3 linked regions of the Schizosaccharomyces pombe genome follow. The gene in region 2 interacts genetically with the main gene of each other region. Each region holds a gene or a part of one and is shown on either strand. Other genes may lie near its edges.

Region 1 (11,166 bases), 1.6 Mb from region 2:
ATAAAAAGGAATTAATAAAGAACTTCCAATGAAGACAAAAATGGAAGGAAAATGTCCAATGAAGATTTTCAAGTAAATGTTTCATAAAGACGGAGATTCGGAGGGTGATGGGATATTCATGTTTTCATCAGGTTGAGCAAAAGAAGCTGACCACCATCTCAGCGATGAAGGATCAGGCATTATAACATCATCATAAGGTACATAGTTAGGATTCTTGAATTCATCCTTCCGAGAAAGGAAATAGTCCCAGATACAACGAGTATGAGTGCTGACGGATGCTTGAGCTCGTTCCCGTTCAGAGTTGTATAGGAACGAACCGTATTGGCAAGAGTAAAGATGGTAAAGTAGACGGCGTAAAAATCTCTCGTTAAACTCGAAACAATTAGGAAATTGATCCATAATTTGCCAGACGCAATCTAAAAACTGATGAAAGACCGGAGACATCATTTTTTCGGAATGGTCAATTGAGAAGCCACTTAAAGCAGAGCGTACTGTTGAAAAAGTGTATTGTAAAGTCGAACTTGGTGAAGATTGGGGTGGTTCTTCTGAGTATGAGCTGTCGATTGTAAAAATACGTTTACCAGGTAAATGACAACATCTTTCTGCAAACCTATGCCCGAAGGAAAGCCAATCCTTTTCGACGAGAGCAAAAAATCCCTCAATTGTTCTATAGTAAGGATCCAAACACAATTGAGGTAGAGCACATAACTGGGAAGTTCTGTCCCATCCATCTGAGCAATGTACAAGTACATGGGCATGCCTAAAATGAACTGTTTTAACAATAAGAACCGCTCCTTGTAAAATGTTAGCCAAGTGCTTAAGCCAACTTGATCTGTTTAAGAGTTCTATCAATGGAGGTGCCGCACTAATATCTGTATTTTTAAGAGCATTCACAATTTTATTTAAAGAATCCCTCATGACGTGTATGTTATCAATTCCAAGATATATCTTCTTTGCAAAACGGTAGTGATCCATGTTTTCGCTTCCAGCGCCTACGGCAATGTTAGCCATCGCATTAGTAGAAGGCCTCGCATCAACTATAAGATTTTCTTTTCCAGGAATGATTGATGTTGCGAATATAGCTTCAACAAGTTTTTCATCCTGTGCACTTCGATTTTGACGAATACCCACAAGGGGTTGAGAGGCCCGCGTAATTGAAAACTAAATAAATTAGTATTAAAGCCTCTCAAAGTTAGTAAAACTTACAGAATTTTTATGGAGATACGTAAGGGTAGGAAATCGATTTTTAGATCTATATTTGCATCCATAATATATAACACTGTCAGAAATGCTAGCGGGAACGGCTAGAGCTTGCGGATAAGAATGGCACTCAGAGTAATTTTCGTTAATTTTAGTTATCCTCCAATTTCCGCCAGCACCATCAGCTTGGGTGGAATCACCTACTCCCATGCGCCTATATTCATTTTCAAGTAGAAATGATTTCCAAGAAGATGGCAGTTTCTCTTCATCTCCGGAGGGCATATAGTAAAATGCGTATAGCATATTTATTGAATTAATAGACATCAATTCCTGTAAAGTGTCGTATACGTCCATCGCATCCTCCGTGCTTTGAAACCTCCAACAAAAGAACATAAAGTCTCGGCATTGTATACGTATACAAAATGATTTTTCGTTAGAGCAAAGCTTTACATTATTTATCATGGAATATGCCGTCCAAATTTCCTTCCCATTTTCCGAGATTGAAAAAATAGAATGATACGCTGTCAAATGCAATGTTCCGTTCAATTCGTTTCCTTTGTTCACAAACTTCACATTTCCGACCTATTTGTTAATATTTTGATAAAATTAAGTTTTAGATCTAATCGCATTATGCTTACTTTTGCAACTTTGATGTTTTCCATCACACGGAAACTTCTTTTTATAAGCAATTGAATAAAATGAAGCAACCCTCGTACTATCAAGTACTGTGACAAAATATGAGTACAAAGAATTAAATATGTGTTTAGCGCAGAATGTAATTGCGTTCTACTTAGATAGATGAAGGTTTTAAACTATTTACGGTGGTGCTGTCGATTAATGCTGCCAAGTGCATGGCTGTAATCATTGCGGTTATCAAGGCTACAACTTGACATATCATTACCTTGTTTATTAAACAATAGAAAGGACGATTCTGAAAGATGTAGAGGAGTTACACTTATCTTTGGTATATATATGTTTAATAAATTCAACTTTATTAATTTGTGTATCTGACAAAAAAAAACGAGTGCTTGATCAAATAACTCATAAAACCCTAAATATAAAAAAGATAATAAAATAACAATAAAAATAATTAAGTTACAGTTTCATTAACAATTATGCAGCGTAGTCTGCGTTTTCCACAGTCTCGAGTGTCAATAATCTTGTAGCTAGAGTGTCTTTGCCGAAAAACAAAGTGCGGTTCCTCCAATCTTGCGTGCAAGAATCGCAATACCTTTGCATCGAGGGTGGGTATAAATCAAATTCCCTTGCTTTGTCACATCCCAACAGCTCTTGTTGAATGTATTGATATACGGCATCCTCGTGAATTATATATTCGTAATAGTTTAGAGACGCCAAATTTTCCAATATTTTTTTTCTTTTTTCTGCAATATAATTCCGTTTTCGTAACCAGTGACTTTTTTGAGGAGAACTTTTTAAAGCAAATGATTGTAAACTGTAAAAAGATTAGAATAATAATAATAACAAAAAAAAGATAATATAATGTACATGTAATCAACATTTATAATTACATGGTACTACTAACAAACTTACCATTCACTTGGATAAGTGACGTTGGGGTGCAAATAAGTAGGAAGTCCGACTAATAAATCATCAACGTCCTTCATATAAACATAACGAGCAGAAGTTTCAATATTTTTAAACTCATCGAAAACTTGCCCGACAAATTTGTTATTCTGTCGCTCATCCCAGTACTTAGCTCCAAAACAAAACATGAGAGAAAGGTTCAAGATAACCGAACAAGCAAAAATAATAACCAAAAATGAGTGAGAAAATAAATATCTTAGGAAAATGTGGAAGACAGCCCACGGCAGCTTTAGTAGATCAATTGCCAATCCTTGAAGAAAAAGCCACCAATTATTGCGAATAATATCGATAATTGACAGGTTTTTCAATTCACAGTTAAAAGGTATTTTTCTTCGATAAACCATCGATTCATTGTAGTCGCCTACTCTTCCATATTGATTTATTATCGCAATAAGCGGCTGATTTCTTGCTCTTCTAGTTGCCTTTTCCAAAAAGTTGACTTCCGTTTTTATATACTTGATAGCCAGTTTTCTACATTCAGCCTCAATAACCTTTGATATAGCAAAAGGTTTAACGATCCATTCAAGGCCTACAGATATGAGCAATCTAGACTTCTCCCTTCTAAGGTGAGATATAGAAGTTTTTGTCACGATTTTAAAGTAATCTCTATAAGGCAAAGTCCAAGAGTGATGAAGCCATGTCATAATGTATAAATGATAATCATTGCGGACGTCCATTATTTGGCAATCCTCATAGTGGTAAGATTGACATTGACCTTCTTGGTCGTAATTATAAACCTTATAATTGATGTATCGACGACTCAAATTGGTTTTTGGATCTTTTCCCCATGGTAAAAATTCGACATCATCTACTCCATGAAGATTGTAAGCACCAGACAACACGGTGCTTCTATCACCAAAAACAATATGAAACAATGCCTTAGTAGAAACATTGTACACTCGATCAAATACAATATCGTCCAGATGATGAGAACGAACAACTTGGACTGTCTCTTTCGGAAGCATAGCAATCTTGAAGTCCCTGAGGTCTTCCATAAATGAATCATTACTCTCATTCTTATTGATCAAATTAGTTAGCGCTCTACTACTCCTTCCTCTTCGAATAAGGAGATCTTCTTGAGATGGCTGTACCCCATAAGACTTGAGAGCATTATCGTCACCACCCCTTTCAAAGCGTTTTACATCATCATTCAATCTTTTGATACATGACAACAGTTGTATTGAACTGTTTGGTTTATCGGCAATGTAATTGCACAGTAACACATTAAGTCGGTCAGTTAGAGCTTTCGAAGAATCGAGATAGAGACGGAACCTTACAGTCCCAATGTTCTGGATATTCATGTAAAAATAATCACATTTAGTACTAGCAAATTGTTTTACGTTTAAAATGCTAGAAATGGGGAAATGCTCAATGAGGACCAATCCATTGATGTTGTAATATATGTAAATCCCTTTCATAGTGCAATACATTCGACCAGGCATACGTATTTGATCCTCTCTTTTACTACAAACACGGCATACAAATAAAACGGTAGATGCTTCCGATTCACCAAATATACCTCTAAATTCAGCATTCCTCAACTTAAGCTCAGAAGGAAGTTTTTCAATGTGAATTTCTCTAGCTAAACGTTTATAAGAAGGATTTGATAGATCTTCAATGTACACGTTCTGACGCTCTAAAACATGGCCGTAATTGACTGAACCCCAAAAATTTGCCAGTAAGGCGCAAGGAGAATTACCATGAAAAAAGGCTTCCTGGTCCAAAAGGCTGGTTATCGTTTCGTGAGTCAAATTTGTTATCAGTGGTGCATTGACTAGGGTCCATGGAGCAAGCGGATTAAGGAATTTAGCGCCATTTATGGAATTTGAAAGATACTTTGGAGGAGGAACAGTTGAAATTGTGGGAGATCGCATTATAGTTGAAACTTCATAATTGTTTGGACCACATAACAATCGTCCCGAATAAGTACGACGAGGACGATAATTTTTTCCTATTTTCCCCGTAGAGTTTGAGCGCCCATTGACTTGTGGATTTATAATTGATGTAGCTTTAGCAGAAAACGATGGTAAGGTAGGAGACAAGATTCGGTTAGCAGATATCCCGGAATTGATACAGTGTTCTCGAGCGTTATTTATTACGCTGCCCCATTCAAGCATTTCCATGTGAGTTTCGGCTTGCAGAATGTAGCTCACGGACTTCGTTTTTATTTGAAAACAAAATTTCCGATGATTGCTTGGTAAAACAGAAAACTTACACAGAAGGACTCCGATTTTTTCGCTCTCAAAAACACCACCATTGGCATCATTAATAAGATATCCGACATAGCCATTGTCGACAAAAAACCAGTATTTTCTCCAAATTGCTTTGTTATCTGCCTTGCTAGAACTGATATTTCTTAGTAACCACCCTTGACGTTTAGTTGCGTTTGTTTGACATATTTGCTGGGGATCGAAACGATATGCGTCTAAATTAGTTGGTGGCTGTACTCTCTTAAGAATTTCCTTCTCAATTCTATCAAAAACGTTAGATACTATTCTTTTTAGTGAAGGATAAGATTCCTTAAGTTTAGTTTCGTAAGAGAGTAAGCGAATTAGTTGATCATTTATATGCCTATTGGACTCGTGCAGACGATCAGTCAAACGAAACGTTTCAATTGAAAACTTGCAAATGCTTTCAATAACTATGAAATCAATGGATGAGCGAAAGGAGGTAACTCGAACTACGTATTGTAGAGCAACTGTAAAATAACTTTTACGAGCTTCGTATAAAGATTTTGCTTCATCCCGCATTTGCGATAAATCTTTTGAATGTCCAAGAGAAGAATACCTTAAGACTTCCGCATCATACTTGGCTTGCTCGGCTTTAAAGCGATCATTTAATTGAAGCAAAGGCTTAACTTTTGAATCTCGAAATAGATCTAATGGAGCAACAATAAATTTCCGTAAATTTTTAGCTTGTTGAAGTTGCACCATATATGACGACCGAAATAAGTCTTGACCGTGAAGCAAAGCGGTTGTTGCATAATCAGGATCAAAAAATCCTGAAGCAACATTAGAAGGCATAGCATTCAACGACATACTGGCGACAATGGGCTCTATCGCCATTATTGACTCGATAAACTTGTTGCAGCAACATAAGAAATCATGAGACCATTCGTTAAACGCTTTGATTTGATTCCCTAGATAATACATGCTCGCCCTAAAAGACGGAGAATCAATGCTACATTCGTTCAGTAAGACTGGAATAACATGATCCTTTTTTGAAGACGCATTTGCAGGAGCGGCCATGATTTTTCATTTCCTTCTATTAGTTTCCAAAAACTTCAATTCATATAAGAAAGCATTAAGAACGATATGTCCACTCGTCTAAAGGATGATTTTTAAACCGGTATATGCGCTTTCGGCTGTCGGATGCGGCATGTTTGTAGCGGCGTACTTGATGTTTTTGACTTAAGAGTGACGCTGCATTTTTTAACCAAGATGAAGCAATTCGTTATATTAGAATAACGATATTTAAGTACTTCTATTATAAGGTAAACAAATACGAAATAACTGAGTGTTAGAAATTTAATCACAAGGAAAATGTTTCAGCTAGCTAAGGAATTTTTACTTAAAATATATAAGTGAAATGATTCCATCCTTATACATATCATAAATATAAATACATTTACTATTAGAAAAATAAAAGTGCTTTTAATTTTTCGTTTTCTTCTTTTTTAAGTAAAATTTACTAAGAATGAGTTAGCCTTATTACAAAAATTGTGGCACTAATTTGTGAGCATAGTATCTTAATTTATACTTGATGTTTGCACTTAATCTTTTTTAAGTCATTATAAAACAATATACAAATTGAGCACGATCAATAACTGTAATGGTCAGGTTTGGTTGTACTTCAATTGGTATGTAAACAAAATATTTGGTAAAGTGGTTAAATAAATTTTATGAACAGTTAGGAATTATGTATATAGTAAAACAAAAGCATCTCTAAAATTATAAAAAATACCTAGATTTTTCTGTTGTGGGTAAATTACTTGTTACTTTTTTTATTGCCACATCTGGTTGCTATTTGCTTTCAAAATTAATTTTTAAAAAAAAAATTATTATAATGAGTAAAGGGTGCAACCTAGAAACATGTTCAGCTGAGCTTGTTAAAAATATTTGTTATGTTTATAATTTTGAAGTAGTGTATCTTAAGCACTTGCGATAGCGAACTAAATTTTTCTAAATCATTGACATTAGAAATAAAAAAATAAACTACATTATGGTGCCATTTGCCCCATTAGATTATCAGGAACATCGTGCTAGCCATTTGCTATCTACGTTTCTATCAGACCATGTCGGATTTGGTCATACGAGGAAGGGTGTGGCAGAATACCTTGCGGTGGGCGGGTTTGTATGCATTGGGCGATAAAGACACGGGCATGTTGTGGACGGAGCAAATAACACTACTGTAACCAACAAAACTAGTATTTACTTTTCAATTCTTTTTTCTGGAGCACCAAAACTTGTACTCATTATTAAAATTCTAGGGAAATTAATTAGTTGAATTGGTTAGCAATTGACGATTCATTAAATTTCCTGCTATCAACCCAAGGACATGACTTTTGCTCATTAATTTTGTGTTCGTATTTCCATTGAGGGTTTCAAATTACTAGAGTTCATTTTACTTTCGTTGCTTTGCTTATTCGGTTTGCTCTGCGCTGCCTAAATCAGATCACACTTGGTTTTTGTGCTTTTTTTTTTAAAAAATTTCGATTCATTTGAACCGTCTCACAGAAGTTTCACTTTTACATCTTCGTTTCAGTTTCTCGTTCTTTGTTCATAACCATTTTTCATCTTCCATACCTTCCAGTTCATTACTTTTCATTCATTTCATTTCATTCCATGCTGCATGCATTATATTAATCACTAATTGTTTTTCCCTTGTTCGTTCGCTTCGGTAGTTTCTCAATTGATTTTTCTTTTGATTATTCGGGAAAAAATATCTGTTCATTAAAGGTAATACGTTGGTTGCTTTCTCCTTATTACAGTCAGTTTTATCCTCGTATAGTCGACAAATCTATCTACTGTCTCCAATTGTTATAAATTTAGATCCTGACTTAAGTTTACATTACATTTCTTTTTGAATCTTCCTTTCATTTTCGAGGTCTCTCTTTACTTCAATCTTTTTTAAGTCTTTCTTTTTCTTCAACTTACATGCGCCGAGGCGCGAAATGACCTTCAGAATTCCTTCCAGCCAGGAGTCTTCAAATAAATCCGAAAAGGATACCACTGTAAATTCTCCTAACGCTTCTAGTTTCTCCTCTTTCTTTAAAAAGTCTAGTCAGACATATCTGTCCAAACGTTCAGAAAAACTAAATGAGCATAACAGTAAACTAAAGTCAAGCGGATCTTTCACAAGTAATTCACAGACCGACTTGAGTAATTCGCCCTCTTCTAAGAAAAAAAATATTTTTTATCCGATCGCAAGAGCCAAGCACTCGTTTTACTTCAACCACAACTGGTCTTCGGATTTGCAGCAAGCAAATTCTCCTGTTGCATCGTATTCAAGTCAAAGCGTTTCAAACGATTCCAATTTTCCAAAAGATGTCACGTCTCCTATTTCGACAGACCTAAGCGGTTCCAATCCTTCTTTGAAATCACCATCTAGTATCAACTCGGCGAAACTTCGTGCTTCTCGATCATTTTTTCGATTTCCGAAGTGGTCTAGGAAGTCCTGGAATCCCGATGTTAACTCAACTACTAGTTCTCCTTCTGAAGTTGGTTCTCTCGATAAAGCTGGTGGCCCTCTAAACCAGCAAAATGAGAATTTGTCAGCGGAATCTGATAATACGATTTTACAGAATGGTACTCGGAAAAGTAGTGTCAAAATGTCCGACCTGGGGAAACGCATTGCTTCTTTACCTGTAGTAAAAAGACCTCCTATCCAGTTTTCCATATCTTCTGATTACATTAAGCCAGTTGATAAAAGCGATCAGACTTCTAACGTTCCATCACCTTCTTCTTCTGTGGGTTCCCTCCGGTTGTATCGTTCGCCTTCTATTCCTAATGATGTTGAACAACCACAGCCACAAAGCTCTCGGTCACGGCCTCGTAGTTCTACGATTCCTACCCAAAGGACTTTAGAAAGATTGAGAGAAAACCGTTCTAGTATTTTTAGTTTTCGAACTTTGCGCCGGGATGATGACGAATGCGTAGCTCAGACTATTGAAAATTCGGCTTTATTTTCTGATATTAAGCCTAATCCGACCAAGTTTCTTTCTTCTGTTCCGGAGCTCACAGCAGATGATACTGCGGAGAGTTATCTCTCAAAGCTTAGAGAGACAGTTCCTTATAGTCGTATGATCCCTGTTCTAGCAGAAAAGGATCATGTAACATTGAACAAAGCTCTGCACCTTTGTATGTCGGGAATGGAGTTTGAAAATCGGCCGTTGGATTTTTGCTTGCGGTTATTTTTACTTAAATCTCACCTTCCTAAGGAAACTCAACAGATTGATCGTGTCATCAATGCATTCTCTAAGCGCTATTTTGAATGTAACCCTGGGATGTTCAGTTCCCAAGATCAGTGTTACATTCTGGTGTTTTCTTTGATGATGCTCCACACTGACGTTTTTAATTCAAATAATAAGCATAAAATGACGAAGCAGGAATTCATAAATCTCTGTGACATAGATGAATTAGCTCCGGAGATAATGGAGTATTATTATGACAATATTACCTTTACTCCTTTTGTCAACCTGGATGATGAGTTGCTTCTCATTGAGAAGGAAAAGAACGAAAAGTACAATTTCACATCTCGTAAAAGGTTAGGGCTTTCTCCTTACACATTTACGTTAGAAAATCAATTGAATATTTCACGGCCTGAAATATCTCTCTCTTATGATGGAAAATTCATATCTCCAGGTATCAAAGATATTGCGTCTTTGCTGAACGTTAGAAAGTTGATTTCCAGCCCTGCGATAATTCAGCTTGTTTCTAAAAGATCTCATCCAATGGCATTCTCCAATCATTTTATTGGATTACCAGACAATGCTGACCCGGGACTAGTTGATTTTAGTATCAGTATGCTGGGCATTTTACCACGGTGTGAAAAGAAGCGAAGAAGTGTGGGGCACAATTCATACAAAGAGCATTTGGTTTTGTTGACCGCTTCTAGAATACTTTTTTTTCGTAATTTGGTATGGGCTAAAGATCTCATGGCTCAAAAGAAAGCTTATGAAAGGCGTTACAAAAATTTTACAACTACCTCGAGCAGTTTTGACACGTTGCAAGGTATAGATACAGAGGCTATGGAATATGAATTTCCAAAAATTCCTCCGCTTGTATTTACTCCACCTCTAGAAGAGTTTTCCCCCGATACCAGTTATTCGCTTGTTAATGCGTTTGCCTATTGTGACAGAGATAAGAAGAATGTACGCAATTGTTCTTTTACCGTCATATTTCGGGATGGATCTGAAGAGACTCTTTGTGCTCCAACAGAAGAAAGCATGATAGAATGGGTAGCTAAAATTAACTACATCTCAACACTTCGTACAGCTGGTCTGCGAATGCCTGTAAGTGATTCTTACCATCCTAAAAGAGACTTTTCTTGCTATCCAAAGTATATGGAGGAAGAATTAGCAGCAATTGAAGCTCAAATGAAACAGGATATGGAAATTGCACGTGCCCGGACAATTAAGACACGTATTGACCAACTTGAAACATCTATTACTGAGTTCAATAAGAAACTCATGGTATTACAAAGAAATGCCAAAAATTTATCGACATGTGCACCCCTACAGCCGAAAACAAGAGTAGTTATTTTACAAGCCCTTAAAAAGGTCGATGCTAAAGCGCAATCATTATATTTGGAAATCAGAAAAATGGAGTCACAATTGCAAGTATTGCGGTTTGAATCTGATTTAGATAAATGCATTTCTCTTGAAAGTTCTAATGACATCGACGACAGACCTTCTTCGACAAGCCCAAGCACCCTAAAAAATCCGAGCATCAACTCAATCAATCGTCAAACACATGATGTTGAAAAAGAATCATCAGATAGAGATGTACCGCATCTTTTGGATCCTGATAATAATTTCAACTTGAAAGGCAACCCCGAAAACCCCTCATCGACATTTTTTACTCCTGAAATACTTTCACCAAAGGTTTACTCGGACAATGTTAAAGATGAGCCTGTCGAAGATATTTTTGGTTTTGAAGATACAAGCGAAAGCTCGCCCGGTAAACCCAGCCAATTGAGGCTTCAAATTGAAGCCTTTGATGATGAATTAGCTGACACAGCTAGCTTAGGTTCCGTGACTACATGTTTAGATCAATGGCAAACATTTTCGGACGATACAGATAGCGGGTTTGCTTTGAACCTGTACTCATCAGAAGATTTTCGCACGGATCCATATAAGGA
Region 2 (11,166 bases):
GTACGCCGATAAAAGAAAATGTTGATTCTTCTTTTATAAACATGACTCCACCTGATGTTTCACATGCTCCCTTAATATCTCGGATTATTCCTAATAAGGGTTCAATCATGGGAGGTTATGAAGTTACAATTCTTGGCGCGAACTTTTTTAATGGATTAGTCTGTTTATTTGGTGACAACCCAGCTGCTGTAACTTTTTCGTGGAGTGAGTCAACGATTATAGCGACTTGTCCTCCTGCAACTAATGCTGGAACCGTTCCTGTAACCTTTCAGAACTATAATTCATCTTCTGAAGCGCCAGTAATGTTTACTTATGAAGATAATTTAGATAATGAACTTTACAAATTAACTGTTCAAGTTTTAGGCTTAAAACTTACTGGATCTATTCAAAACCCATTAACGTTATCCAAAAAATTGTTGAGTTCATGGCGCGACGATTTTGCTCAATATATAACAAATTCTATTAAGCAGCCTCCTAACAGTGAATCTAAAGGTCAGTCTAAAAAAACCTTATTGCATGATAGCAATATGGAATCGCTTAAATCGGTTATTTCGCGGATTGTGAAAAAAGACAGTAATCAGTCTGATGACAGTGTTGAAAGTACTATCCTCGCAGCATTTGCTCTTGTTACAGATACAACGACACCATACCTTTCTGATTTTAGTCTTGTTAACGAATCTGGTAGGTCACTTCTCCACCTTACTGCTGCCTGTGGATTGTCTAATGCTTCGACGTTCTTATGCAACGCAGGATGCGATGTTAACAAAAGGGACGCACTTGGCTATACACCACTGCATTATGCTTCATTGTATGATCATAAAGACATATGTGTTAATTTACTTTCCAACGGTGCCAAGCCTGATGTTATAGGAGCTAGCGGTAAAAAACCGATAGACCTCTCCTCTTCTGAGCCTATAAAACTGGTCTTTAAGGAAGCAAATAATGAACAAGCCCAAAGTATTTCTCGCTCTCTTATTAAGGATTCTGAAGGCTCCATTAATACAAATGAAACCTTAGAATCAACCAGTATTGTTAACGAAATTGAGGAATCTGCTGTTCAGACCAAGTCATATAGTGAAAGTATGTGGAATAAAACTGTTACAATGTTTCCATCGCTTCAAGAACTACCTCAGAATTATATGAGTGAAGTTCCATCCATGATGCAAAAAGCCATGCTGTCAACCTTAAAAAGTATATCGGCCATTCCCGATGATGTACCCCCTCCTTATTCTGAGTTTGCTGATGATACGACAGCGCAAGCTGGTTCTAGTAAAAGAGATAGCGCTATATCTGAAGATCCCGATCATCACAAAAGTGTTTGGTGGTCTTTGAGATGGCAATCTCGGCTTGTTGGTCGTGGAAAATCTACTGCTCTTACTCCTGAAGAAACCAGAGCAATACAGGAGCAGGCAAAGACACTGAAAAAGGCAGGAATGGACTTTATGCTATTCTCTTTCTGGTTACCTGCCCTACTTTTGCTGAGTATCTTTGGTCTTCGAAGCTATGCTCAAATGATCGGGGGATATTTATATCGCTGCATAATTGGCATTTAGGTTTGACGAACAACCATGCATGTTTTTTTCTTTCTTTTAGTTTTATTCTTTTTTGTAGATTATGAGCAAACTACTGTCAAAACTTAGGTATTATGACAATGAAATCGTATATATTATATTCGATTGGATCAATTTTTTATTATATTGAAAGTAATTGCTTATTTTGTAAGTTAAACTTACATGGGTTTAAACGCATAGAGCAGGTTGGCGCTTTTAAAACCAAAATAGATCGTTGCAGGTTTGCTGTTCTGGATCGTGAATGCAATACCTTAGGAAAGTCTTTTAATAAGCTATCGCTTTTTGCATTGCATTCTTTTTCTAAACTGAACGTTAGATTAGCTAAAGTAAGCGTCTTGAGTTTTCGAGATGAACCGCATACATTAAAATTTTTAAGTACCAATTGGCATGAACCGGTATGCGATCTGCTTATTATAATACTAGTAAATCTTGATACTCGGCAAACTCTTTCAATAATAGCCTAGCAGAAACTGGGATATGTCTAAAGTTTTACAACTGCGCTCAGCTTAAGGACTTTACGGCGATCCATTTAATAGCTAGCCATGAACACTCATAACCTCAAGATTGAGGAGTGGGTCATTCTTTTGCTTGATAAAGAAACAAATTCATTATTGGTAAAATAAAACTGAATAACCCTTAGTTCATCCTAGGAATTTGAAGAAGGGGAATGATCAAGCTTGAACAAGTAACTCTCACGCAGTCTATTGAATAATCTGAAGGTTCATCACTTTCAAGGGGTTGTCTTGGTTTAAAAAGCTTTTACCAATTCCATTTAGGTTTCTGAGAAAGGCTAAAACTCATTTGTTGTTCTTAAAGGATATTTGGATCATTCGTTGATCAAGCATGGGAGAGGACGTTATTGACAGTCTTCAGTTGAATGAGTTATTAAATGCTGGAGAATATAAGATTGGAGTGAGATATCAATGGATTTATATTTGTTTTGCTAACAATGAAAAAGGAACTTACATTTCAGTCCATTAGAAGCTCTCAAGAATTACAAAAGAAGAATACTATTGTCAATTTGTTTGGAATAGTAAAAGATTTTACCCCTAGTCGCCAAAGTCTACATGGAACTAAGGGTATGCTTGCTTATCATGGTGGAAACTATACTTTTTATTTTTCCAGTCAAGAGCTAATAATCATGTTTTTAGATTGGGTAACCACCGTATATTTGTGGGATCCAACATGTGATACATCAAGCATCGGACTACAGATACACTTGTTCAGCAAACAGGGAAATGATTTGCCTGTAATCAAGCAGGTGGGGCAACCGCTTTTGCTTCATCAAATCACATTAAGAAGTTATAGAGACAGGACTCAAGGTTTGTCTAAGGATCAATTTCGATATGCACTTTGGCCAGACTTTTCTTCTAATTCCAAAGATACTCTCTGTCCTCAACCAATGCCTCGTTTAATGAAAACGGGAGACAAGGAAGAGCAATTCGCCTTGTTGTTAAATAAAATTTGGGATGAGCAAACTAATAAACATAAAAATGGCGAATTATTGAGTACCTCTTCTGCTCGTCAAAATCAAACTGGATTGAGTTACCCTTCTGTCTCTTTTTCTCTGCTATCACAAATAACTCCACATCAACGTTGTAGCTTTTACGCTCAGGTAATTAAAACTTGGTACAGTGATAAAAACTTTACTCTTTATGTCACTGATTATACGGAAAATGAGCTTTTTTTTCCAATGTCTCCGTATACTAGCTCCTCGAGATGGAGGGGCCCTTTTGGTCGGTTTTCTATAAGGTGCATTTTATGGGATGAGCACGACTTTTACTGCCGCAACTACATTAAAGAAGGTGACTATGTGGTTATGAAAAATGTGCGAACCAAAATTGATCACCTTGGTTATCTGGAATGTATACTTCATGGGGATTCAGCAAAACGTTATAATATGAGTATAGAAAAAGTCGATTCGGAAGAACCCGAACTAAACGAAATTAAGTCACGTAAAAGGCTTTATGTTCAGAATTGCCAAAATGGTATAGAAGCAGTAATCGAGAAACTCAGTCAAAGCCAACAATCGGAAAATCCTTTTATCGCCCATGAATTAAAGCAAACTTCTGTTAATGAAATTACGGCCCATGTCATAAATGAACCTGCTAGTTTAAAATTGACTACTATTTCTACCATACTTCATGCACCTTTGCAGAATCTTCTCAAACCGAGGAAACATAGGCTACGCGTTCAGGTGGTAGATTTTTGGCCAAAGAGTTTGACGCAGTTTGCTGTGCTATCTCAACCACCATCTTCGTATGTTTGGATGTTTGCCTTGCTCGTAAGGGATGTATCGAATGTGACTTTACCGGTCATATTTTTTGATTCTGACGCTGCGGAACTTATTAACAGCTCAAAAATCCAACCTTGCAATTTAGCTGATCACCCGCAGATGACTCTTCAGCTTAAAGAAAGATTATTTCTGATTTGGGGGAACTTGGAAGAACGCATTCAGCATCACATATCGAAGGGTGAATCGCCAACTCTGGCTGCTGAAGATGTTGAAACACCATGGTTTGATATATATGTCAAAGAATACATTCCTGTAATTGGGAACACCAAAGACCATCAATCTTTGACTTTTCTTCAGAAGCGCTGGCGAGGATTTGGCACGAAAATTGTTTGACTATTGTGATACAAAACTTACAATAATGAAATGCTTACGGAAAAGAAACATAAGAAAAACAATATTTAAATTTAAGGAAAGCTCTATATTGGGAGAATTTTATAAAGCGAGCGAATTTGTACTAAGGAAAAACACAGAGGGGAAACGTGAAATATCTAATTGCTTAGACTTTATATAACATCAACTTCGAAATAATCTTAGAAATTAATTACAAAAATAATAAGGATTGGTTTGATGTATGGTGGTTACATCTAAGCAGGCTTTTGCTTAGAAGTTGCAAGTGTTGAGGCATCATCATCACTTTCATCGTCAACAGCGAATAGAGCTTGATGCTCATCGGCACTGCCATGAATAATATGAGGGTTGGCTGGAGATGTAGGACGCTCATGATGCAGATGCAAACTATCATTTGAGAGAGAGGAAGTCATCTCAAACTCATCTACATCTTGAGCAACTTGCTCACTCATTGCGAAACGACGGTTATTCTCGGTAGGACGCCACAAGTACAAAATGGTAAGCATCAAGATCAAAACAAGAATATCAGTGTATCCGTAATTAAGGAACCAAAGAAGTTTCCAGTATTTTAAGTAATAGTTCATTTGACCGTAGATACCAATCAAAATGGCATTGGCTGCGACAATCGAAGCATAAGCGACAATGCCAAAACATATAACAATCCAAAGACGAGTATACATCTGAGCCTTAACAGTTTGCTTACGAATACGGAGATCACGAATTGTATTATTTAAAGCCAATACAATCCAAAGGAACATAGCGAAGAGGGTGATTAAAAAGACAGGAGCGGCAAACAAAATGACCAAAGACTCTTTATTAGATGGGCTAATGAACAAAGATGACAAGAAAAAGCATGAAGAAACGAACTGCAAACCAGCAAGAATTTGACACTTACGAAGAAGACTTCCCAAACTAGGAACAACAATAGAGTAACCCAGTGAAACAATTAACAGCAAAAATCCGAAATAGGATTGACGAGCGGATTGAGCTAACGACAAAAAGAAAGCAAAAACTTTACTACCTGTAGTGTAACCTTTGCTATTCGCGAAATAGAAATAACCTGTAGAGACCATAGTGCAAACAATAGAAAGAGCAACAACACCTGAAATATACTTTTGAACTTGAAGGAGATCATGCCTATAGCGGAACATAATAAAAGACCACCAAATTCCAATTAAACAATTGATCGCCAAAAGAATGGGATTTAAAAACAAATGAGGATAATCAGTAGCATCCAAATTGCCAAAATAGTTTTCCCAGGTTACGGTGATTTTGTAAGCCTCGCTGGAGCCTTCAAGGGGTGCGGTAAAGACGCAATATAGACCAGATTGCTCAACCGGATATTTAAGGGGACTAACCATGGATTCAGCGTCTACGGCGGCTGAGTAAATAGAATCGTGGGGAGCGGTTTGGTTAATCAAGTAAAGACCATAATCATCGTCCTTGCAAACACCGGCTTCAATGTCTTCGTAGTTACATATATAATGCTTCTCGCCATCATCGTCTTCCATGCCGATGGCATTAACATCTTTCCAGTTAAAAATTAGCAAACGAATGGCGCCGCCAAAGTCAGATGTATAAGAATCGATTTTCACTATGTTCAAAGTTAGTAACAAAACTTAACAAATAGTAAAAAAGATTAACATAAAAAGGTGCTTAAGAAATACAGTCAAGATTTCGACAAAACGATATAGATAAAGATCTGCAAAACTCTGAAAAGATTAAGCAACGATCAATTTCCCATCGCTAGTAACTGAAACATATTCAAAGAAAAGATGAAGAAACAGCATAACTCTTAGTGTCAAAACACGATAAAAGGCTCGTAATGTTGATTTCCGTCGCCAAAAAATTCCCGATTCCTCAAGCAACTATGAAAGCCTATATAAAATTCACATACGAGTAATCTCTGATGTTTTTCCTTTTTTGGCAAACATTCCATTACAGACTTGAGATGCCATAATATCCTCAGTCTACAAAATTATTGCAATTAGTTAGCGTCCAATATTCTACTCTGGATTCCGACTATCAACCACTATAATCCACGTACCAAAAGACTTTTATTATCGGAAGCATTTACAATGAAGAAATGCAAAAAGCATATAAACCCTACAAGAGCCGACTTTAAAATCGCCATTTTGGAGCTTGGTTCTTGTTCGGTTGTTCAGATCAACTGCGTAAGGGGTACGAAAGGCGCTGCTCGTTTAGCGACACATTAAATCTTGCTATACTTTTAGTGAGCGGAACTAGTTAAGTCACTATATAATAAAAGAAGCGGCAAAGCTTGCAAAAATGCAAATTAAAAGAAAAACTAGTTTATTTAAGGAGAATAACTTCTATAATAAAGCATGTATTCTTTATTTGTTTCCAGAATAACACGCTATTGTATAAGGAGAGACACGCCTTTTTCAGATTATATGCGGTACGTTAGATAAGCATATTATATTAGTAAATAAACTCAATTTCAAAAAAATGAAGAATTATAAAGCACTGAAGAATGGTATTTCTAGTAACACTGCCAAATCTATATTGTTTAAGTGAAAATTGGAGGACAGACGTATGCTCTAGCGAAATATAGATTAAAAAAAGAAAATGATCATCGTCCGCTGAGATCATGAAACGCTATTAACTAAATACTGTTTTTTCTTCTCGTTTTTCTTACCAGACATTGATAAGCTGTTTAAAATGCTAGTAATTGAGCAAACCAAATCATTGTTTACTTGGTTTGGTGACTTCTGTTATACACGCAAAACCAAAGATAATCTGATAACGAAGCTAAAGAAATCTAAGTACAAGTCACCCTTTAAACACTTCAAAAAACCTCAGTATCACATTCCATGATATCTCAAAGTCTTGAAGATGAAATGGCTTACAAATATTAAAAGCAATAAGTGCTACAATAATTTTTGTTTCTTAATGTATAAACAAACTCAGCAATTGCGGTGTAGAGAATTGAGAAAAATGGATATTCGTTTGTTTTATATAACAAAGATTTATGGAAAAGTTTAAGTAATATGCCTGAAAATGCAAAATGACATGTAGATAATGAAAATGCAGTAGAGTTTGAGTAATTTGGATATTTTTTAATAAATTCCTAATTAGGAAAATTTTAAAATAGTAAAAGTTTGTTTGTTTGTTTTTGGTATTTTCTATGTTGACGGAGAAGGCGAAAGAGCAATTAAAATGTTAAAAAGGCAATAATCAATCAAGCAAGTATGGCAAAAGCATACACATGAAGTATAAAAATCCAACGTTGAAAAGATACGCTCAAAGTTGAATATAACTATTCAATTGTTTACTCAGAGGTGCAATTCAAATTGTACTTGAGAGTGCGGTTGCTGTACATGGCTCCAAAGTAGGGTTCAACGGAAGAGGAGTCACCCTTCCAGTCCTCGTCAAATGCCTCGAAAAAGAAGATATCAATGCCCTTACGACGTATGTTACACAAGGCCTCTTGGAAGAATTCACTAGCAATATCAACCGTGGCATCAGCCTCTCCATAAGAAGGACCATCAGTAGGCCAACCAGTCTCACCAACCCAAAAGGTAACGTTGTTGGTACCCTTGACGGATTGGACGCGCTCTAAAGCAGCCAAAGTATCGGAGATGAAGGTGTTGGTCATGTTACTGGTGTTTTGACCTTGCCAGTAAGGGAAGTCATTCGACATGATAAAGTCACTGGCAGTAATAACAACATCACCGCTACCACCAGCCCACAAGTTCCAACTATCCGCAGTACCAACGGGAACATCGAAGCCGAGCTTTTGTTGAACAAGGCCACGGACGTCGTAAATGCGTTCGGCAAGGACGTCAGCAGGTAGATCATTCCTGTACAAGACTTCAGAGCCAACTGTTATAGCTCTAACATGATCAACACCATACTGAGGCAAATACTGCATAAGAGCTTGCTTTTCCAAATCGTAATGAGCGTCGTCAGTGGGCCAAACACCGAGGATGGCAGAAAAGTTGTAAGGCGACTGAGCAAGTGCGGGTAATAAGTACTCGAGAGTGTTACAATCACTAGTGGCATAGGTACGAATCATGTTGGTGTAAGGAGCAAGGACCTCAAAATCAGCCAAGTAATCGTCCGTATACTTGCAGGTGCCATCAGCATGCTTCACGCCTAAGCAGAAGCTGAGAGTGCCATTGGTAGAGGCAGGCTTGGTGGAAGAAGCGATTTCGGAAGCAGCTTCATCAACAGCCATAGCAGAAAGAGGCAACAAAGCCAAAGCGGCAAACACAAAAGACGAAAGGAATTGCATTTTTGGTGATGAAAAAGAATAAGACAATTGAGTTAAAAAATGAAGTAAAAGTAGAATAAAAAAAATTTGATCGAAAACGGTTTAAAAGATAAAAAAGAAAACTTGAGATAGAGAAGAAACTTTTAACACCTATTAAATTCAGAGACGAATCCAAAAACTATAGTAGAAACGTTGAATTGAGTGGATTGTTGTTTAAACGAAGAATGTTTTAAAGCGAGAAAGAAAAGAGTGGAATGACCCTTTATGTTGGGAAAAACAAAAGAAAAGAAAATAAAATAAATGCGACTGAAAAAGGAAAAAAAAAATTTTAACCAATGTAAACTCCTGCTCACTATCCACAATGGGCAGGCCAGAGGCTCTTAAATATTATTTCTATTACAATGCAATGTTAAATCTCACTATTTTTTACGACAATGGTGGAGTATGTCGGAAGGGAAAAAGTGGGTAAATGAGGTTATTGAACATTCGGTTCACTAAGCCTCGAATCATGAGTACATTGTTTCATTAAAAATGTTGAAAATACATGAAATAAACGAATGTTCAAACGTTTTCTATGCGATCGACAAGCCATATCTCAAGATTTCATCACTTGAGTTGTCCTTTCTAATTAAAATTTTTTGGAATTTTTTAGAAACCAAATCAAAGGTTTATATGTTCAAATTGGTGGGGTTCAATAAACAAATAAGATTGTTTATTTGAAATAATTTTTTGAATTGTTTTCTAAAGCTTCTACTATTTTTTGTATTTTTTCCTAAATTTTTTTAATTAATTTTTATATTAATTTGAGGAAATTTCTCAAAAGTTCCAACACAGTATTCTAGCCGCATTATTGAATCCATTCGTTTCTTATCCAACATATATCTTTATTCTGTTTTGTTTTTATTTTTAGCCGAGTGCATGGATTCATGTTCTTGACCTTTTTACGAGGGAAGAATCTTTATTTTTTTGGAATATGGTATTTTGATGATCTATCGATGTAAAAATGAAATGCGCTGTACATTTAAAGGATTTTTTGATTCATCACAGAATTTCTAATTTAAATGATATTTAATGTATGATTGATTTGTATTCAATAAAGTTAGTTAAAACTCATTTTCTTACTTATTTAGTGAAAGAATCTTTCCTTGTAAAAAATTTCACTAAACACACTTCCGCTCAAATAAGAATTCGTAGCGGTCCGAAAAAATTTCTTTTTAAATCCGTCAGCGGAATTAGGATTCTTTTCTTGCCACATGAATGGAATACGAGTAAAGGGTAACAATAGCGTAAACAACTGGGAGAAAAGATTGAAAGAAGGGAGAATCAACGAATTTGGTTTGGCCTGTGTATGAAATAGTATTATATAACCGAATTAAGGAACAGAGTAAATAAAAAGATGCTTGTTTTTATGGAGATGTGTTCTGCTTAAAAAAATAAAAAAAAAAAACAGTGTTTTGTTTTGTTGGTCTTTGTAAAATACGAAGAAATGAATTTTACTTTTTAAGAAACTTAATATTTTATTTATTTTGTTATTTTCCCTATGTGTCATATTGTGAATGATTTTTTTCTTAGTATAGAAGTTGACTTTTTTTAGTATATGTATTTAATATGTTGTATCTTTCTTCCTTCTATTCCTACCTGCCTATACAAAATCCCTATTTATTATACGCGCATATATACATACCATCCCAAATCTGTTGCTGATGAAAACATAATATATATTTATATTTATAGGTATACTAAGATATAGATAGACGTATGTATATAGCTTGCATATTTACATGCGCAGATAGAAATTATATACTTACTTGTGTGGTTAATTACCAGTTCTATCTGTTTGCATCGGTTCGTCATCAGATATAGTATGTCGAAGGTTACAGTACCAAACATAAAACAACAAAAACAATGCTTACTGAAAAGTCATAGAAAACGTAAAAACATAAACTGTCTGGAAGGAAGAAAAAAAGAAGAATTTGGAAAGACGCGCAGGTTCAAAACCATGAGACCTACTCGGACAATGGGATGGAAGTAGAGGATTGGGAACTCTTGTAAGCAGCCTCAATGATCTTCTCTACCAACAAAACTTGATGAGGCTTCACCGAAGTTTCAAAGGTCTTCGTGACCAAGGCTTCATGCACCTCCAAATAGAATCGACGATAATCACCGGCAATGGTCATTAAAGTGCTCTTCGTAGGTTTTGGGGGGTGTCTGACATCGATGTCGGGAGGTAGGGTCCAAAGGGTTGCATAATGATGGGAGGAATCGACACCATAACCTGGATCCATGGGAGACATTCCTTCGTTCAATTGGGACTCTTGGGGATCAATGCCAAACTTCAAAAAGCTACCGCGCGTACCCTTGATAATATAACGCATGTCCAAACCACAAGAAATGCTGGAGGAGCACACAATAACGTCAAGAGGAAGTCTTCCTTCTTGGGGCAGATAGTGGAGAACGATGCGGAAGCAATCCTCCACCTCCAAAGGTGGGATCTGACGTTGTGATTCGAGCTTTGCCGTTACGGAATGGGGAGTGCCAAACAAGGTGATGGCCTGATCGATCAAATGAGAGCCCAAGTCATACACCAAACCACAGCCGGGATTAGGAACATCCTTCCAATTACCTTTACGGAAAAGGCGAAAGCGATCGATATGCGACTCGAATTGCACAACTTCGCCCAAACGACCATTTTCGATGCATTCCTTTGCCGTCAA
Region 3 (11,166 bases), on a different chromosome or scaffold from region 2:
TTGTAGTTCTGGGTTTGCTGGCTGTATAGTTGCAGCTTTAACCAATCCGATTTGGGTCGTCAAATCACGAATTCTTTCAAAGAGAGTCAATTATACCAATCCATTTTTCGGTTTTTACGATCTCATTAAAAATGAAGGGCTACGTGGATGTTATGCTGGGTTTGCTCCGTCATTACTTGGCGTATCCCAAGGTGCTCTTCAGTTTATGGCTTACGAAAAATTGAAACTTTGGAAACAGCGCCGGCCAACATCATTAGATTATATATTTATGTCAGCAGCTTCTAAAGTTTTTGCGGCTGTAAACATGTATCCACTGTTGGTGATTAGGACACGGTTACAAGTGATGCGTTCTCCACACCGTTCTATAATGAATTTGGTTCTTCAAACTTGGAGATTGCAAGGAATTCTTGGTTTCTACAAAGGATTTTTACCGCACTTACTTCGAGTCGTCCCTCAAACATGCATTACATTTTTGGTTTATGAGCAAGTTGGAATGCATTTTAAAACACAGTCTTCAAAGTCTCAATAATCGGTTTGTAAAAAGCATCTGGGTTTGGCATTTATCTGTATTATGTTTAAGAAAGAGAAAAGGAGGGAAAATCTGTTAGGTTTCTAGTATCACATTTAAATCCAGTCATTCTTTAAGGTTGCGATATTATTTTCTTTTAGGCAAGGGCATCAAAAAAGTGTTTATTTATTTATAATTAATAGTAAAGGTATAAAAATATAAGAAAATTCGCAGTATAAACATTACTCAACATTTTGTATTAAGATCTCTTCAACGCATTTTTTTTGCCTAGGAGAAAGTTGTTGAATGATTGCTTTGGCCTCATCTGGCTGAATAGCCATAATCTTCAGCAGTTTTTCACCGATTCTTTTTCGTGCGTCAGCGTGCTCGACGAGGATACTAAAATGTGCAGCTATCGGAATAGACATGCTTAAAAATGATTTTTCTAAAAGTTAGAATAAAATAATATTAAATAATACACTTACTCTTCTCCTCCGGAATATGGACATGCATATCAAGCAATGCAGGTATAAACTCCGTGACATAATCACCACTTTTCAGAACTTCACCGTTCTGTAGCATCGTAACCGATTTGTAAATAATGAAACGGCAAAGAGCGCTCATGCTTGGGTGTTTACTGTTAACTAACATCAGCGATGTTACACAACGAGTTCTTAAAGCAAAGTCCTATATGTTAATGTAAACCTTCCAAAATTCCTAACAAACCTCTTCTGAGCTCTTCAAGGAAGAGAATAGTTCTTCCAAAAAATCGTGTACCACAAGCTGCTCACTGTCTAATATAGGAGCTGCAAGAGTAAGTACAAGGACCATGCTCATAAAAGCAGTTTCGTTTTTCTCCTTTTTATCACTATCATTACTTTTTTAAGGTTAGTAATAGTACAGGTGGCAATCAAAACTTACATCGTTTCTTTGTAGATGTTAAGGAGGTGTTCAAAAAGAGTGTATATCAAAGTTGTACATGTGTGATCATTTTGCTCAACCATTGTACTCAACAACTTTCTAAGAGCAGCTAACAACTCTTGCTTAGAATTTTTTAATAGTTGTTGATCGTCCATAATGACTAGACAGTTAGCATGAAATTATTCGTTTATTTTTAGGACTTACCTTCATAAACATGCATTGCTGTCGCAAATAAATCAACACGCACAATAGCGGGGAAAATGTTGGAAACATCAAGAAATGCATTAAAACACAAAATAACAAATTCACTAGCTTTTTTATTGGTAGCTGATTCAGCTGGATCAGAACGTAGGCCCGGCACTCTAACCGTTAAAGCTAATGTCAATATTTTGACCAATTGAAAAAGCATTTCGACGCTTTCTGATACAGTAGGCTCCATAGATGTTACAGAATCTGTTTCACAAAACTTCAAGTCATTGTGTGCCGGGTTAGCAAGAGCTAACTTTTTCACAAAAATGACAATACTAGCCTTCGTTTCCCAATCCTCCGTCAAAATCAAACGAACTAAAAGATCAACAACTTCGGGGAACACATTATGGTCATAAAGAACCTTGGTACATAATTCTTCAGTTAAAACTTCAGTCATAATTCGCATAATTCTGAAAACTGGATTTCTAAAGCCTTGCAAAGTGCTTGGAATTAAGAGAGATTGGAAGCAGACACTAAACAAAAAAAAGTTAAAAGAGTACCTGTTGGAAGCATAATTTATGTTGTCTTGGAAGAATACGTCCTCCTCAGAAAGCGACAGCTCATCTCCACTTAATATTCCATAAATCAGATTTGCATCAGTAGAAAGTAATATTGTTAATGACTCTGCGATGTTCAGCCAAGATTTCTCATAAATATTGAGAAGTATTTTAGGGTTTATACTTTGGACCCGAGTGAAAGAGGTATCAGCTACAAAATCTTTTACTAAACTAGGACCAAATTGCAATCTGGAATATCCTCTTAAAGCCATAATCCAATGCGAAGATAGCCTTCGGATGTTAGAGGAAAGAAATTCTTTCAAATATGACACATTCGCTGAATGTACCAGCAAAGAAGCCCAAGCTGATAAAGTAGCAATACGAAGAAAATATTTCGAGTCATACTTAAAGTGACGATTTTCCTCAAATCCAGCCCTCTCTGGTAAACTAGATTCCAACGCTTCTTTCAATAAATTGAGGATTTTAGCTGCTTGCGATTCGGTTTTTAGAAGTCCAGTTCCAATAAAATTGGAAGCTATATTAAGAGACATGGCTACTATTTCAGGAGATGAATCATCTACAAACGCGGAACTAAAAGCAGAGCTGATTTGAGCTTGAAATTGGTCCAAAAGAGAAACATCGTCAAAGTCAGGATCCATAACATTCGAAAAGTCCTAAAAAATTGTTAGCGAGTTTCCTTTAGATTATCCTTACCGTTATGATAGTATCCAAAAGTTCAAAACCCCCCTGCTTCAAGTAAAAGTTGTCTGAAGTAGACAAAACAAAAGCAGCACGGACTAGGTCAGATATCCTAGAAATCAAGTATTTTGCGGGCTCTTTATTTTCGGCCATCACTTCAGAGATACATGTTTTAAGGCATGTAGCTGCATAAAACTGCGTCTGCCAACGGTAATTCTTCTGGAATAATGGATTACTTGCGTTTTCGGAAGTTCCATAAGCCAAAGATACGGTATCTTCATCTAGGTTGTTTTGTATATCTTGTTCGTTGGATCTTTCAGAACTCGAAGTATTTTTTATGCCGACAAGAAAAAGTAAAATATTTACCCATGAGTGTATGTCCGAATCTTTGTAATCGTTTAGCCAGATATACAGTATGTTCTTCAAAAGCTTGTTGTCAGGAGTGGTGTCGAGTGATTGCCAAATAAGCCTATCAAAATGTCGCTTATAACATGATTCCGAGAACTCATGGTTTTGAAGCAATATTTGGTATAAAACTTCAATAGAAATTTCCCTACGTTTAGGTTGCTTTAGGTCAATTATGTTACCACAAAGCTCCCTAATGAAGAAATCAGAATTGGTTTCTAATGGTGTAAATAGATATAGGTGCTGATAACATTTGTAAACGTGTATAATGTTATCTCCCGTATCTCTACTAAGTAAAAGCAATTGGTGAGCTAAATCGAATGCGAAATGCGAAGTAGAAGAATCGGATCGCAAGTTTGGTCCAAGCTCATTTATCAAACAATCCAAGTAATTGGCAAAAAGAGTGGACGGGAAAAATAAACTGTTTCTCTTCTTTAAGAGCTGAACATCAATATCACATTCTGGCAATAGCATATAGCTCAATAAAATGCGTGTCTGGGCAGTTAAAACACTCGGAATGGTCTTTGCGATAGACCCAAGAGAAACGGAAGAAGCACGAATAGAACACTCTCTAACAAGGTCATTCGAATCAGTATTAAAAACTTTGAGCAGCTGATAAGCGGTGATGAGGGTAGTTTGGGGAACTCCGGAACCAACCTTTTTTAATATATGGCCAACGGCTAGAATCAAGACAGCCCTGCAATTTGGATCTCCCGACTCTGCAGCACGTTTAATTATTGTATCCAAAACGGACGTCGGTTTGCTTTGATATAAATATGCCAAAAACGCATAAGATTTCGAAATGTAAGGAATTAACTTCGGATCGTTAACAGCAGTCAAGTTTTCGAGCAATTCTATCATAAGGGATACAACCTTGTCAGGCAAGGTAACTTTTTTGTTATCGAAAGCAGAGAGAAATCCATAAATGGAAAATAAAGTATTTGCTGTTACTGCCTTGTAACGTAAAATATCTCTCCCACTCTTGAGGTTTGTCACAGACGCTACCATAATTTCGAGAGTGCTCTCCATAACCTTCGGAGGTTGATGACAAAACATAGACGCAAATAACTGGATCGCGTTATCAATTAAAGAAGTTAAAGACGGGGGTACGTAAGGAAGTTTTGCAGAGTTTGATCTCGAAATCACTGACAGGGAATCAGAAGATGACTCGCAAATATAACAAGGAAGTATATCATCCATGGTTGTTTGAAATTCTTCCTCTGGCTGAGCGTAAAATCGTGAACCAATTCCAGGTATAACTCTTGGAGAAGTAAAGGCTTTCGCTTGAACTATTTCGTCCGCAGTATCATATCCTTGTAAAGAAGAAAGTTCGGCTATAGTAGACACAGTCGTGGATAGTAATTCTTGATCATCTAAACTCATTCCACTTAACTGAGACAACTCGAAGAAACATTGGAAAATCCGAGCAAGCAAGAGAGAGCGAAGTTCCAAGTGAGAATAATCTGAAGCGGGAATTGGCATGGTAATTTCAAGCCTTTTGGTTAACGAAAAAGCTTTGTAGAATTTAAGGCAGTTATTTAGGAAAATAATGACTCGCTTCCTAACATCAGGTGTGAATAAAATCTTGTTATACTCCAAAAACGAAAGCAAGCACTGTAACGCTTCAAACCGATTAAACATGTCTGCATTTGTCTCCATGAAATTTTGTGAATGTATTTTTGAAGGTACTCTGGAAAGGGCATTCTTCCATAAAATTAGCAATTGGGACAATTGCATTCTAGTAAAAGAAGGACCAAAAGAAACGTAAGCGCTTAATAGTCGCCAACCAGTCTTGATTTGTGCTTGTGCCGCTAATAAATCCAATTTAGATGATGACTTAATCAAATCCAAAGAGAAGTTAAATAACTTTGAAAATATAGAAGAAGCAACATATAGAGGATTTTCTTCGGCGGCAACATAAATCGACATCAACGACAAAGTAAGATTATTGAAAATACCAACATTCAATTTGGGACTTACTTCCTTAGGTTTAGAACGAAGGTGCTTAAATTCCAACTCTAATCTATTAAAAAGAGCAAGCAAAGTGGGCATTAAAGGAGAAGGCATAACGGATAGTAAACAGCGCAGCAACCAGGCTACTTCATTCTTCAATGAATCTTTACCCAAGTATAGAATCTGTAGTGTAGTATCTAGTAACTGACTATATAAAGCAGTAGCCGAACCCTTTGATCGGCTTAATATATCAGCGGTGGAAGCCATCGCAGTCTTAACAGCAATTTCCGAAATCTTCGACTGATCTTTTAAATAAGGCTCTAACACTCTCTTTAAAAGTATTTCAATTCCCTGCAATTCAGAGCTTTGATCGAGAAATCGCCTTCCAATCACATCGCGAAACAAGTATGTACAATGATATTGCTCCAACGAAGACAACCATTCTTTTGAAGTAGAGTGTGATTGGTGTAATAGAATAATATCCACTATAGTAGTGTAGTTGAGAGAAACAAAGGATGGACGTTGCATTAGAAAAAGATGCTTAACGGCAAAAACAAGAACCGCTTTTGAGCTTTCATACTTTGCATGCTTGGAGTGATAATTTTCGACAAGAATCCGTAGGGCGTGACGAAAACTCTCAGTTTCATCAAAACGGCGAGTAGTAGACCGATTTTCTACTTCCTCATTGTTCTCATCATCCGCTGGAGTTGAGGGTACTGCGTTTGCAGCGGCTTCAATCGATTTGTCAGCTTGAGCACTTGCAAGTGCAGAAAAGCATCTTCCTAAAGAAGAATGGAGCAAAGAATTATCAATTGATGATTTTTTAAATAGAAAAGATTTGAACCATTCCAATTCTGAATTACGAAGACGTGAAGAGCCCAGAATGTAGTAAGCGCAACGAAGTGCAGATAAAAGAACATTCGTTGATGAAGTGTTTAAATTTGATTTAATACATTTCCATATTTCTTTTATCAAATCTTCATTCGTAGACTGAATAGATGTTTCAATGCATTTCGACAGTCCATCTAATGCGATTGAGCGAACTCCATATGACAAATTGGTTTTCGAATATTTGAAGAAAAATCTTATAAAAGTCTCTTGCTGATTGATCTATTAAGGTTAATTATAAGTTTATAGAAAATATCCAAAAGAGTAATACCTGATTTCCATATTCTTCCAAGCAAGAAGTCAGAACGGATAAAACGTTACTACCGGTTAGTTGATATTTCAAATATTCTAGACATACATAATCTCTATATAGTCTTTTTTCTCATGAATGCTATCCACGAAGTAAAGTAAAACTCGATGCTGATGATAACCCTCGACTAATACTTGTTAACATATACCATTTTCCATAAATCTCACATACGTCCTTTTAAGAGTGCAATTATACAGTTAGAAAGAAGTTTTCTAGTTGGATAAGCAATAAAATTTCCATATTTTTTGATTAACGAAAGTAGGGGATTTAAATTAGTTTGTAATGAATCCTCGCGAGTATTTTTGTTCAGATTCCTCAATTGTTTTTCGTAATTGAGTAAATCAATATATATGGTCTCCCTCTTATCTACATCAGCTACTTTCGTCAACTTTTCGAGCGGCAATGATGCTAACGACATATGTGGAGCGGCCAAACCAATTTCCCTAGGCTAAATCTATATACATTGAGTTGCGAGGTACTGAAATCTGCAGTCGACATTTACACGATTTACAATAAATTAATAATCAAATAGTCTATAGATAATATATTTATTATTATCATTATAATTAACCACTTTACTTATCAACCACGAACACAAAGATGTTTTAAATTGTAGGAGACTACTAGAATGCAATAGCCATTCCGAGTATCGTTAATTTTAAAATTAAATAAAACAACGAAAAGTCATTTATAGATTTAGTTTTGAAATGGACAAAAATTTTGTCTGAGAAGGCAAAAATCACAGCTCAACGCTAGTATGAGCATCTGCAATGCAAACAATTATTATGCTATTCATAATGGTATTTCCATGTACAATAAGAACAAGGGGTCTCATGATCAGAAGGAGTACTAATAAAACTTAATATTTGCATATTTCCATAAAACCTAATTGAACATTTTCATAAACAAAGAAGAAAACACAAAAAAAAAGAAAGGACAGATATTAATGAAGAGCTCGAAATGCTTTGCTGGCCATAACTCACATATGGGAGAGATTAGTATCAGTATAATCATCGCGCTTGTTATCTAAATTAAATGAACCTAAATTATCAAGCTCATCTTGTTTTTCTTTTTTTCTGCTTCGTACTCCAAGTCCAAATGGAATAACCAGCACTAAAAACCCTGTAAAAGCCATCACCACACCTGAAAAAGAAAAGGAAATTAATAAATGAAATTTCAAATACCTAGTTTGAACTATAAATATACTTACCTGCTGCTTTTCTTATTTGGTCCCATTTCTGCCTCTCATTTTCAGCCCTCAATTTACCTAACGAAACGGCTAATAAATTGTGTAGTTCAACAATTCTTGCACTCAATTGCTGGACTTCATTCTTTGTATCATTTTTCCGATTTTCAAACTCCATTTTGCTTTCGGTATTAAGCTTGTTTAACTGCTCGTGAACCAATTGTTCCAAACTTTCTACTTCCCTTTGGTTTGAAAACAAGCCTGAACGTAACGAACTGATTTGATCTTTTCTCATATTTATTTTCTCTGAGCGAAGCTCCGACAAAGCTGTACGAAACAAATAGGAGCACTATACAAGTTAGCTATGACAGTTCATTTGAAAGCAAAAAAAACCGTCAATCTATAATTAAAGATAAATTTAAAGACGGAAGGATTCTGTAGCTTAATAAATCATACGTACATTTTCAAAATCAGCTTCAGACAGGTAATTGAGATGACTATGTCGCAGCATATCAGTAACAAACATATTCGTGACTTCGAGAAGACCCTCGGCCTCTTTTTCTGTATATCCTTTATCCATTAAAGTTTTCAAAAATGTAAATGTGTTGAAGTGATATCCTTCAAGGTCTCTGAAAGGACGATTTTCGTGATTGGCATTTACTACTGAAAGACCCTTTTCCATTTCACCTGCATCTGTCCCTTCTGATGCATAAAATCGAATTTGCTTCGTTAAGGATAAAGAATAAGGAATTAAACGAAAAGTATTGATACTATGCACTTTAATCCCATGCAAGGTAATTCGGGATCGATTAACATCTATAGCTTTTCGTAGCAAAGAGAACATTTTGTCAAGCTACCAAATTTTGATTATAAATTAAGCAACTTATTAACAGACATAATTAATTTTTGTTAAAAATTGGGTACGATGATTGTGGTGAATGTTAAATGTACATATCAGAAGGCGTAAAGGAGTAGTATGGGTGTACCCATAGAAAATAATAATGATGAAAATGCATTGATAAGTGGTTTTGATTATTTCCTTATAAGGTTTAAAATGTTAAAGGATATAAAAGAAAATATTTCTACAATTCTAATTATACGTCAAATTGAACGAGGGCAGTGAAGCTTTATTGTTATTCAGCATCTTCAGGAAATTTGACAACAGAACTTCCGAAGCATTGGATCAGGACAAAGAGCTGATGAGTAACAAGTAATATTCCACTTAGCATAAACCGAGGTGCAAACACTTTCCAAACCATCAAATGGCGACGAAAAAATCCAGCAAAGAAGACAGTACTCGTCGAGATCAATAGGTTATAAAGAATGAAAGAAAAGGAGAATCGAAACAAGTTTATCAAGAATCTATTTTTCTTGGAAAGTGGTTCGAATGAAAATAGTGGAATCGAAATGCAAGTAAGTATCGGCGCACCGACCGTATGCAAAAACATGAATATAGCGCTTATAGCCTGGTTTTCAGCAGATTTTGAATGAATGAATGCAAAATTCCAATCAAGAGACGATATAGCAGCCTGATTTCCCGTTGTAAAAAAATGCGACAATCCCAATAAACCTAGCGTTACCGAAAAGAAGTTGTGACCAACACTTGGCTGCCATTGTTTAAGTTGAATAAGAAGCAGGATTTGTAAAAAGCAAGAAAATAAAGAGAGATGTCCCAGGGGCCTTTGCAAAAATGAGAGAAAAGAATATAGTAATGCAAAAACGAAATATGATCTTTCGATGACATTTATTTTAGCAAACTTGGATCGCGACAGTAAGAAGAATTGCCATATCAAAACACCAAGAATGCAAATTACGTAAGTATTTGCAAGTGAGTATAAAACATGATGATACTGCTTTTCTAATAAAGCATCATTCGCGAAAACATGATGAGCAATCCAAAATATTGAAGATATTAACTCGAAAAAATAGAGGATTGAAAGATGATAAAGTTTTAAAGAAAGGCCAAGAACGCGTCGCAAGTGAAGTTGCAGAATGAGAGGCAATATAATAGAAGAAAGAGCCATTAACGCCAAAACAATCAAGGTTCTGAGGCTGTTATCAGGAGTTGAGATGTACGTGCTAACACAAAACGCACCTTGCTCTTCGCGACAGTTAGTTACGTACGAAGAAATTACCTGTAAAAGGATAAATGCCAATGCAGAGTAAGTAGAGCATGCAAAAAGGGGGCTCATTTCGGAAAAGCATTTGCAAAACATAACTAGTCCAATAGTGATGATCAAGAAGTGACAAAGGCGATCTTCCCATACTGTAAAAGAGTTGGAACCAAAACTGCAAACGTGTAGAAAAGTTATAAAAATACTAAAGTAGTCCAACTTGACAAAACCTTTAAAGTACTCCATCAACTTCTGATTAAAGGAATTTAACAGGATGTAAAATGAAGGAAGTAATACATAGAATTCCGCCGGGAACGGAGAATGAAGTTCGTTGTTTGCCAAAATTAAAATTAAGCAAACCGGCAAACATTTCATGACTGATGGAGCCATATTGGCAGACATCCTAAAAATCACCGACTTATCTTGCATCAACAAAGCCAAGTTAAATCCACCTATAATAAGAAGTAAAAATCCAATGATCATAGGGAAAAGACTAAACTCCGCCCAAATTGCTTTAAAGTAAGAGAATGCGTCTCTTGCATAGTCAAAGTCTAAAAAGTATTGATCTAAATAAGAGTTATTATTTTTATGGACAGAGGACGAAAGGAAGTCAGAAGCATCTAAATCATACTCGCTAAAGAAGCGATTGAGTTGACCGATATTAATCTTTTGGGCTTTCGACAAATATTCATCTCCATAGTAGTAAAAAGGTTCTGGAATTAAGGTACCAAGGTTGCCATACGGAATGGGATTTCCTAAGAGCAAACTTAAGGTAGGAACTAGATCTACCTGATTTGCACTTAGTACTTTACCTGGTTGTTTCAAATAGCCAAAGGTTGGCTTTTTGCTATACATCCACAGTACAGAGTTAATTTCATCGAATGAATCACCACCGTGATTTCCTTTGTTGTCCATACCATGATCTCCCATGACAATGAGTAATGTACTATCATCCAGTAGATCCATCATTTCTTTCACACACCTGTCCATTTGATTCAGTTTATCTCGCATTGTTGGATGATCAGGTCCCAAGCGGTGACCAACGTGGTCAACGCCCAAGTAGTGTGCTATTAGGACATCAAAGTTGGCATCTTTTATATAATCGAATACATATTGATTAACCTTATTATCTACTCCATGAAGATCAGGTACATTGAAAGAAAAAGCAGGTTGAGAGAGTGTCTCATTCAAATAATCATGGAACAATACGTCCCAAGTATCATCACCTAGCAATACGATTTGTTTATCTAATGATTTCCATTGGAGAAGCAGATTATCCTCATCAATATTTGTTCCAGCGAAGTTAGAACCAAGATCAATAAAAGTTGGTAACGAACCAGTAGTGAGACCTTTCAATCTTTGAGATGTAGTAGTTGGGGCATCTGCTATGAATTGTGTTAAGTAAGAGTTTTCTGGATGAAGGACAGAAGTTTCGT

What was found.
Region 1: mutations in SPOM_SPAC26H5.07C (region 2) and ymr1 together harm fitness more than expected from each alone (negative genetic interaction), as found in Schizosaccharomyces pombe (one large-scale study listed by BioGRID).
Region 3: of SPOM_SPAC26H5.07C (region 2) and sip1, a mutation in one rescues a mutant of the other (synthetic rescue), as found in Schizosaccharomyces pombe (one large-scale study listed by BioGRID).

The regions. Positions count from the first base shown.
Region 1 is NC_003424.3:2,482,885-2,494,050, forward strand, and holds the start of ymr1 (myotubularin family phosphatidylinositol-3-phosphatase), read right to left. Parts: upstream 2,033-11,166; 5' UTR 1,863-2,032; coding exon 1,839-1,862; intron 1,783-1,838; coding exon 1,207-1,782; intron 1,162-1,206; coding exon 82-1,161; 3' UTR 1-81. Other genes in the region: ltc2 (BAR and PH domain-containing protein), read right to left, coding at 2,314-2,653, 2,752-6,053; guanyl-nucleotide exchange factor Sec73, read left to right, coding at 7,979-11,166.
Region 2 is NC_003424.3:4,127,115-4,138,280, forward strand, and holds SPOM_SPAC26H5.07C (seven transmembrane receptor protein), read right to left. Parts: upstream 6,367-11,166; 5' UTR 6,350-6,366; coding exon 6,263-6,349; exon of another isoform or gene 6,186-6,262; coding exon 6,113-6,185; exon of another isoform or gene 5,890-6,112; intron 5,810-5,889; coding exon 4,452-5,809; 3' UTR 4,292-4,451; downstream 1-4,291. Other genes in the region: mga2 (IPT/TIG ankyrin repeat-containing transcription regulator), read left to right, coding at 1-1,553; shelterin complex subunit Pot1, read left to right, coding at 2,415-2,483, 2,530-2,650, 2,723-4,200; glucan beta-glucosidase Bgl2, read right to left, coding at 7,508-8,473; SPOM_SPAC26H5.09C (gfo/idh/mocA family oxidoreductase), read right to left, coding at 10,459-11,166.
Region 3 is NC_003423.3:1,331,406-1,342,571, reverse strand, and holds the start of sip1 (Pof6-interacting protein Sip1 AP-1 accessory protein), read right to left. Parts: upstream 6,862-11,166; 5' UTR 6,849-6,861; coding exon 6,602-6,848; intron 6,558-6,601; coding exon 6,479-6,557; intron 6,441-6,478; coding exon 6,392-6,440; intron 6,343-6,391; coding exon 2,890-6,342; intron 2,850-2,889; coding exon 1,634-2,849; intron 1,590-1,633; coding exon 1,430-1,589; intron 1,386-1,429; coding exon 1,235-1,385; intron 1,196-1,234; coding exon 994-1,195; intron 971-993; exon of another isoform or gene 954-970; coding exon 751-953; 3' UTR 530-750; coding exon of another isoform or gene 1-529. Other genes in the region: flx1 (FAD transporter), read left to right, coding at 1-529; SPOM_SPBC27B12.07 (uncharacterized protein), read right to left, coding at 7,410-7,573, 7,641-7,965, 8,077-8,460; gpi13 (pig-O family ethanolamine phosphate transferase), read right to left, coding at 8,750-11,166.